Linked DNA regions of Saccharomyces cerevisiae S288C. Changing the gene in region 2 together with the main gene of any one other region gives a genetic interaction. Each region holds a gene or a part of one and is shown on either strand. Other genes may lie near its edges. The genes, in order: FRE7 and FRE2.

Region 1 (4,676 bases), on a different chromosome or scaffold from region 2:
ATTGTACCTAAAATCGCAAATATGACATAGTTCACGCGGTAATTTTTTTTCGCGTTCTTGATTAGAAGTCAAAGTAATCGCTGGCATTTAAAAATGAAGAGGTTAATGATATGAAATAGGGTGTGAATATGGTGTATGTATTATACTGGATATGTTCTGTTATTGGTGAGAAACCCCAGAAGTGGCACACCGAGAGCATGGATATATTTGGAAGAAACAAGCTGCAGAACAAGTAATGTTGCAGGAAGTGCAAAAGAGGGCGAGAAAAGCTGATAATGTTTATATTGTCAACTTTCTCACTGAGGTTTTCATCCTTACAAAAACACTCTTCTAGCGGTTTTAATCACGTTACCGTTTATTTCGGCTGCTCATTCTTATCTGGTCCGAGGAAATGATTATCAAACAAGGATGGAAATTTTGTACTTTTGTTCGTTTGCCCGCCCTTTACCCTCAAGGCTGTAAGATGGTTAGCCAAGAAATGCGTTGTATTGTCTTCTAGATGAACAAAAGAATTAAAGTGCATAACTATTACATATTTACCCGCTAATAATCAAATATTTACATGGTTTTGCCGAAATGCTTGAATGATATTTCACATGGTGGATGCCATCTGTTTCCTACTAGTAGCCAAAACTCTCGCTGTGTAAATAGCACTCTTCGACATTTTTGTTAGAAAAAACCTTGGCCTGTAAACCTGCCACGGAATTTCCGACGGTATACCTTAGGCTGTCAGAACCTGAACAAATGAAGCAGTTCCTGAACCCAATTTGGTAATCATTAATGACCTGATTCAAATCAGGTTTGGAAGGAATAATGGTGATGAGACCTTTATATTCGTTATTGGATTTGTCGAAAGTTGAATTTGACTCAGTATCATCCTGGCCGAATTCGGTATCTTTTTCTCTTTTAGCTAAATCAGATTGGTCACTGGCGGTGTCTATTGTTTGAGGGAAAGTTTTAATAATACCAGGGACGGTACTGTCCGAGCAGACGTAAATTCTAACCACAATTTTCCCATCTAAAAATAACTGGCGCAAATTATTTGAGAGGGTACACATTTCATCTCTAATCCATGATATATCCTCCCTATGTCTTACCACCCAGTCCAATGTAATAACTTCTAAGTTTGTCTTATGGAGTATGGGGCCATATTTTTGCAGGAAAGGTAAGCATGTAGATATACCTGAACCAGAGCAAATCAAGTAGACATTGGTAAAACTTCTAATATCTCTCTCGATTCCACCATAAGGCCCATCAATAAGAATTTTCTTCATGTCGTCATTACTTTCGTATAGCCTTTTAGAAAACCCTTTCTGGGCTCTAATCAGCATTTTTATTCCTCCGGGATACTTTGCACTCGGAAAGATAGAAAATGGATGGTTGGAAATGATGCCCTTATCAATAGTTCTCACGAATATGTGTTGACCTGGGGAATAGGCCATTTCCACATCTTTGACGATCAATTCTACGCATCCTTCGCCGACTATGCTGACATTTGCAATGGTCGAGGCCATGAAACTTCTACCAGGTCTTAAATAACCCTTCACAGCTAGTCTGTAAAACAGTTGTGCAAACCAAACCACAATTGTAGCAACCAGATACATATGGGAATTCAATTCGGGATATACATGATAGAACAAACTAATGTAAAATCCAACAGCTAAAATCCAATGAAGTTGCAAAAAAATCTCATAAAAATGTCTTCTAGCAATAGGCAGCGAAGATAACCATAGCAGATTCAAAAATAAGATGGGTGGGACACCACTCCTCCACATGTCGGATGCCTTCCACCGTTGATGCATTCTTTCATATCCTCCCTCATGTCGTGCTTGACGTAGGAAGGGAATGACATGAACCCAGCTAAAGAATAAACAAAGAATGGATGCCCATTGGTGGTATATGTTGATTTTTTCATACGAAAGCCCAACCAACCAACCTATAACGTTGATCTTCCCGGAAAGTGAGAATACAAACGGAACCAAAGATATTGCCATTATGCCTGCACGAACAGACAAAGGCGGCGAACCAAATCCTGCACAAGGTCTGTAGAATGGATGAGGAACAAAGCAGTATAGAAGTGTGTATAAAGTGGTAGCCATTACTACTAAAAAAGTACCCACAGATGTCGGAATACCTAAATAAGAAAATATCAACGTGGGAAATTTCCTGTAGCAAATGTATCTGTTGAATGCGACAAGTTTCGTCATTATTCGAGCAAGGAATACAGAAGGGGTAGTCGGCGAGTTCTTCTTTTCTGGAAGAAATTCCTCACTGGAATCATAATACATAAATGCCAGCTTTTTTATCAAAGACAAAAAAATTATCACAGCGACAAAGTAAGTGACGAATTTTCCGTATTGTTTTTGGTACACCCATGGTGTCGCTGCCTGCGATTCTTTTTTTAACCTGGCGTATAGTTCGGAGTGGATGTCAGCAATACAATGGATACCATTGCTTAAAACCAAATCTCTTTCTTCAATCATTTTATTATTTATCGATGTATATAAATAAACTTTGAAATAAAAATTTGAAATATCCCTTTACTTGCAATAAAAAACTTTTAGTATTGGTAATAAAGGCATGGTTTATATGATCTTGAGAACAAACGAGTGCATAATGAAGAAGTACTTCAGAGATTTTAAGAAGTGAATTTGCGCAAATGCTCACGTATTAATGCGCAGTTATACATCCTGCTTAACTAAGAAATATGCGCGGTACATCCAGATGCGAGCACTATAATTTGACACTTTTCCAAATATAATAAGCTTGGCAAACGGGCATTTCGGCTGCGTTACTTGAAACGTATATCGACTTTTTCAATTTGCGCAGACGAGGATTTTCAACCGCATTTTCTGAAAATAGTGAGCACATAGTATGACAGAAGGAGGTTATTTCAAACATGTCTTGTTTAATGGCGGTCACTTATATGTGGAAAAAATATCCTCCTTGTTCATTGGCCATCCAAATACAGGCGTATGCTCTTGTAATAACATACTGTAGTTGCCTAATAAACTTGAGGGATCTTCTATTGGTCAGAGATGTTCAGTAAGTCGTGGCGTATAGATCCCCTTTGCAGTTTAAGATACTTTCGTATTATCTGTTATCTTCATTTTGTGTCTAAAACCATTAATAAATGACCAGGAAATGCGCTACTGTCACTATAGGTATTTCAGGATGTCATTGGCTGTATCCAGATAAATTCAGAGAATATCAATCACTCCCTATGTTGGCGTTCTTGTAAAGTAAGAGTCACAAAATAGGATGCTATCAAAATAAAAACTTCAAAAGATGATGCATGGATGTACAGACATAGTCAGAAACCATAATGTAGTTTTATCATAGTTCAATTGGTCAAACACTGCTGCGGCTGTCATTACGCTGGTGGCATGATGAAACTTTTGTTATGAACAACTCTCCAGGTCCTTGTTGTCTCTGTATTTGGCACTGAGAGCGCGTCCACTTGAGGTAAGACACTGGAGCAAAAGAGTATAGTATTCTATAGAACAAATAAATGGGTGATGGGCTGATGTTACTTATAGAAAACTCAATTTCGTTATTATATGGATAATTACCGTGGGAATATATGGGCAGTCTCAGGCATTTTTAGCCGGGGAGTATTCCTCTAGGCATCCCTCTGCTATCCTGTGATTGTGGAAAAGCGTTTTTCAAAGACATATATTGAAGTCTACATAGCATTAAGTGAGCAGCGTTAATCGTTTGCAATGTTCTCATATACATGTCATTATTATTTGTAGTGGCATCTTTGGTTGTAAATATCCCAGCGTTGTGCAGGAATATTCAAACGACATTTTCCTGAAGTTGTATAGACCAACTCAAAATAACTATAGCTGCTTTAATATATTTTAGCAGGTTAACTCAAACATCTGCAAAGTAGCATAAACTATCACGTTGAAGATAGCATAGATAAGAAGTTCATACTTTCGTCGTTACTGTTCAAGAGACAATTGATTAGTATTGCACCTAAATATGTGGTACGGTAAGACCTGGGGTGTTAGTGAATGCATAACCGTCAGTCCATCTGCAAATAGCAGTAAGGATTGGCTTTAAGAAATTCGTTGGTTCCTATTAACGTGGCGTAAAACAATGATATAGTATGGGGGAAGTTGATTGACACGACATGATTGCATTAGGCACGTACCCGATTCTTTGAAAATTATGTCCTTTAATAAGTCGGATCTATATATAAGATTATCAGATGACTATTTTCTGCGGCTGCAACTTTGAGTTCGGTAAAATTAATCACTTGATTACTAAATAGCATGTATATAACATGGTCGAAAATTTGACTCAGGGTCGGTGAAATAAAAGTCAATGAGAGCATTTAGAATAAATTAACATTATGGTAAAGCGGACTTTTCTCTCTGTTCTTTTTCTTAATCTTGCATATGCACTACAGGTCGGGCTTTAAATGAGGGTGCTCTAAAGCCTTGGTCGAAGGAGTGCATATTTCGGATTCTTTTTCATTTCATGGTCTCTGGAGAAAAATCCTCGACAATATATATTTTCTAAGGGGTGCTTAAAAAGGGGAACATAGAAGATATACAAGCAACTACATTAAAACCCTATTCTTAATTATGTATTCGTAGTAGTATACCATAACGGCTTATACTCTGTCATTCCTCCCATATACTAAAACGCTTATATGACAGAGACTC
Region 2 (4,601 bases):
GGATAATGTAGCCTCTATTATACACTTATCCCGATTACATTGTTTTAGCGACGGTAATCATCTTTTTATCCGGCACTCTGAATCAAACTCTATCTTTAAGTATCCTATATGCATGAGTTATGTCGATTATATCGAAGACTCGGTGTGTGATATTACTCCACAGTACAAAAACAGGAATACAGAGAAAATTGAAAAGATATATGAACGGATGGTATGGTAAATAAAATAACAGCCATTATAAAGCTTGTGGTAAATTTTCCAGGACGGAAGTTAGCTTATGCAGTTTTGTTTATCTTCCTTGCATCTGTGTATAATACTGAAACACGCAATTAACGTTTCATAAAATTTGCCTGAGGGCCGTATAAAAATTCAGTGACCATTGTTCACACTTTAAATATAGCCAAATTGCCAAGAAAGGGTTTCATTGCAGGTTTATCGAAATATTAACTCTTTAAATACAGGGACTATACAGAGCTAACTTCTTAAGAAAAAAAACCATGCGACACACTACGACTTTCACAAATTCCATAAAAGAGATATTTAAGATTTAGATAAAATATCAAAGGACTGCTGTACTCTGCTTCAATTACCTCCTTACCATAAAGTTATAGGCAGCTTTCTCCATCGACATACTAAAATTTGGATAGGTATTATTAATGAAATGACTAGTTTTAAGTAAAAAATGATCACCAGCATTGATACTCTTCAAAGTACTCAATGGCTTTTGCAGACTTATCTAAAACTATTTTTGCGGTTTCATTCCTCACTTTGTCAACAAAAATAGGAGGTCCACAGCAAACCACAGATAATGAGCCACTCAATTCAGCCGCTTCATGTAGAAGTTCCTTAACATTTGGTCGCCCGCAATGGAAAACAACACCATCAAAACCAAGTGGATTGGCAGACTTTTCTAAAGTAGTTGCCACAACAGTGCCTTTTTCATCAGCCTTCTCATCCTGTTGAGAAATATCTAAACTATCACTAGGGGTTAATGATGGGACTTCCATTGTGTTGTAGATGTGAAGCTGTACATTCAGATTTTCTAAACACATCAACTCCGGCTTATAAGCCTCGAGTACGTCGAATCCTCTAACTGCAATCACTAATTTTACAGATTGTTTTCCAGCAGCCGCTGACGTCTTTCCAAGTTTAATTGCATGTGCAATAGGTCCAGGCAAACCGGTACCTCCAGTGAGTAACAATACATTATTGTAATTATTGACCGGAGATGAAGAACCATATGGACCTTCTATAGCTAGTCTCATAGATGTCTTACCTCCATTGCGACACACATACTTTTTGACAAGTCTTGTTACTCCCTTTTTTTCTTTCAGGATAATAACCAGTTCACCATTCTTGCTTACTGAATCCAAAACAGTAAATGGATGTGACTGCCAGAAGTACAGTGGATGTAAAAACGAAACGAAAACATATTGCCCAGGTTTGGCCCTCCATGGCCTTGCCGGTTTTTTAACTGTTAAACGAATGAGATCATCCCCGATTAGTTGTAGGGAAGCTTTGGGGAAACCAAAATAAGAAGCTTTGATAATTCTAATAATCCGGTCAACGATCCAAATCGCAATAGCAGTGTATATCCACTCAATGCCACTTAAACTAACAACATGCTCCCAACATGCATAAAAGAACATTGCACCAAGGACGATATGAAGAAAAAGAAAGGCTTCATAAAAATACTTCCTGAATACTGCAAAGGAAAAGAAAACCATTGTGCCAGCTAAACAAAGTGCTGCCACCCCGAATTGCCAATATAATCGGTTTTTACTTGTTGCCCAAGTTTTATTCGCTACCGTATAACTAGTATATGCAGAGCCATGAATCATAGCATCCAAAAACATCATTCTTCCCAACCATTTGTGAAACATAATGAAGGAAGTATATTTAACCCCAGAAATATACTCGAGAAAGTTGTTTCTTCCCGCGAAAAGAACTATTAATGGAAAGTGTGCGAATGCGAGTACACCACTTCTGTCTGCCACATATCGAGCAACTTGAACTCTACGAGACTTGAATATTATATTTTCAGGATCGTATTCATAACCGTATGCCAAAAAAACGGTATGAAGCACGAGATATCCAAGAATAATGATACCCTCTAATCTTGTAGGTAAATATCCTGTGAATATTCTAAAATAAGAGAAATCTGACGCATGTTTGCTTCCAATGGTAGGTAGAGTGAGGTATCCCCTTACATATCCCACAAGCTTTTGCTTCAATAGAACAGTTTTAAAGGGAGTGTAATTCATGCAATGAAGAACGCCTGCAAAAGCCATGATAGCGACAAAATAAGCACATATAATGCCACCATATATGTTTCCGACATCTAAGTTAGCATAGAAACCATGCAATGCATGATAGTAGGCTTTTCTTAACTGTGTATCCATTTCAACTGGATATGTTAGGTTTGCACTGCCTTTGACATAGGGCGTCATATGCCTCGTTCCGTTGTTTAGAACGTCATAAAACTCAGAATTAGTCATGTTCTGAAGAGCATCACTATAACTTGCACAGTTTTTTTTGATGGTACTAAATGTTTTTTCTAAGGTTTTATTCGAATAACCTTTTTCATCCAACGTTTCATAGATACAATACAGCATTGATTGAAACGCTGGTTCGTAAGAACATACTGGTGATGAACGCTTAGACTTGCTGGTATACTCCCAAGTAACTTTTTGAAAAATCCTCGTGCAGGCATTAGTGACAAGCAAGGGCACCTTGTTACGAATAACTGTCTTTGCAGGTGATGCTCTTGCTCCTGACAGGCAGAAAAGCAAAATAGCGCTCAAGATGGACGTCCAATGCATTATATTCGTTGGGTTTCATAAGCTTTGGATAAAAAAGACTTTATTACAACTGTAGCAAAAAATCATGTTCATTTTTTGCGACTTATATATTTAGTGGCAAATTAATGATACCTTGCAATAACCGAATTTAGAGTATGTTGTCCAAGAAAGGAGGGATTTTGTTCATCAGAAAAGAATTCAGAAAAGCAAGGAAACAGTACTATCGTTTAGAATGTAGAATGATAGGTTGCTTGCTAATTCTATTATGGCACGAATGATACACCCATATTTTCAACAAAATCAATACCCACTAGCATCATTGAGCCAACTATTTGTCAATGCAACCATTACCGGTACTTCATCCTGATTTAACGAGTCTACTTTTTTATCACGTCAAAATTTACTTGTTTTCCTGTAAACCCGAAATAAAGGCAAAAAAGACCTGGGTGCAATTACGAATAAATGTACAATAATCATCCTGTTTGCATAGTAAACTTCCAGTTAGAGTCACACAACGCAATGAATTTTGACAGTTTTCTGTGCGATATTCTTTGGTAAACGTAAAGAACAGGCAACTTTTGGTACAATGGATTCTAGCCCATATGGTTCATTTCTGGTGCATTCGCAAAGTCAGTATTTGTCTAGCTGTGTTTTCTGGCTGAGAGACATTATGATGTTATTCATTGTTATGGATATCTCTGTAGCTCATGCTGCTTATTTCTCCCTAAAAAAGTTTTTTCTCTCGAATACATTCTTGACCATTTCATAGTGAAATTCTTGTACTTATTTAAAACCAAAAATGGAAGTATTCATACATCCCCCTATCAAAAACACTCAATAAGTTTCGAATTATTCGTTCGTCTAAACAGTGTCCAATACTCAAAGGGGTATTCAAGACGGCACAAAATCAGCATCTTCCCTTATCCGTGTTCCAGAAATACCACGCTAAGGTTTTTCCTCCTACAATCCATAAAATCATTAAGGAGGCAGCTTGAAAAATCTTGAAATTCAAAAGAGTTATCTTGGGCTAATCGAAATTAACGATAACCAGAGTAGAATATTCAAGATCACAGCTCCACCTTAGTTTCGAGGTTGCTCTCAATGGTCTAGCTTAGTCATGCTTTTTGTTAAACAAATCTTGCCTTTTCTGATATTCTATAGTGTGGTCCAATCCAGATATTGGCGCATCCTAAACCAATTATAGTTCACTTATGAAGGGCAAATGAACACTCTTACCAGTTTCACAAATAATTAGTACTAGCTAGGCGGTCAAACTGACTAGCTTATTATAATATTATCGATGTAACATTTTTCCATAGTGAGGGAGGAAAATAAACCTTAAAAAAATATGCAAGGATTCTAGATTTCAGGCTAGTCTTCAACCACTTTGCACTTCCGGATTAAAGGCTTTTATAGAAAACATCTTGGTTTGGGACTATATTGCTAGGTGAAAATTTCAAAATTGTACAAAAGATCATTCTTGTTTTTTTGCCTCATTAGCTGATACAATGCGGAACTACATGGCGCTCTTTTATAAGCATCTACTATGGTACATTCTAAGTATGTGGATCTTGGTTAACACATAGACATTTTTTAACTTCTTGATATCGGTTCCGCTAAATTTGCTGATTATATTTGTTCACTAGGCCAGATCATAATGCCTGTAATATTGAGTACTTAATATCGATACTTGATATCCGAACAGTAAACGTTTGTCCGTAGTCATCGTGACTGTTGACGTATTAACTGCAAGAAATGATGGAAAAAATTTAGGTATATTTGCAGATGAAAACTCTAGAA

What was found.
Region 1: of FRE2 (region 2) and FRE7, extra expression of one rescues a mutant of the other (dosage rescue), as found in Saccharomyces cerevisiae (one study listed by BioGRID).

Annotation. Positions count from the first base shown.
Region 1 is NC_001147.6:38,555-43,230, reverse strand, and holds FRE7 (putative ferric-chelate reductase), read right to left. Parts: upstream 2,484-4,676; coding exon 621-2,483; downstream 1-620. UniProt on the Saccharomyces cerevisiae protein: Cell surface metalloreductase. May be involved in copper homeostasis.
Region 2 is NC_001143.9:8,405-13,005, forward strand, and holds FRE2 (ferric/cupric-chelate reductase), read right to left. Parts: upstream 2,823-4,601; coding exon 687-2,822; downstream 1-686. UniProt on the Saccharomyces cerevisiae protein: Metalloreductase responsible for reducing extracellular iron and copper prior to import. Catalyzes the reductive uptake of Fe(3+)-salts and Fe(3+) bound to catecholate or hydroxamate siderophores.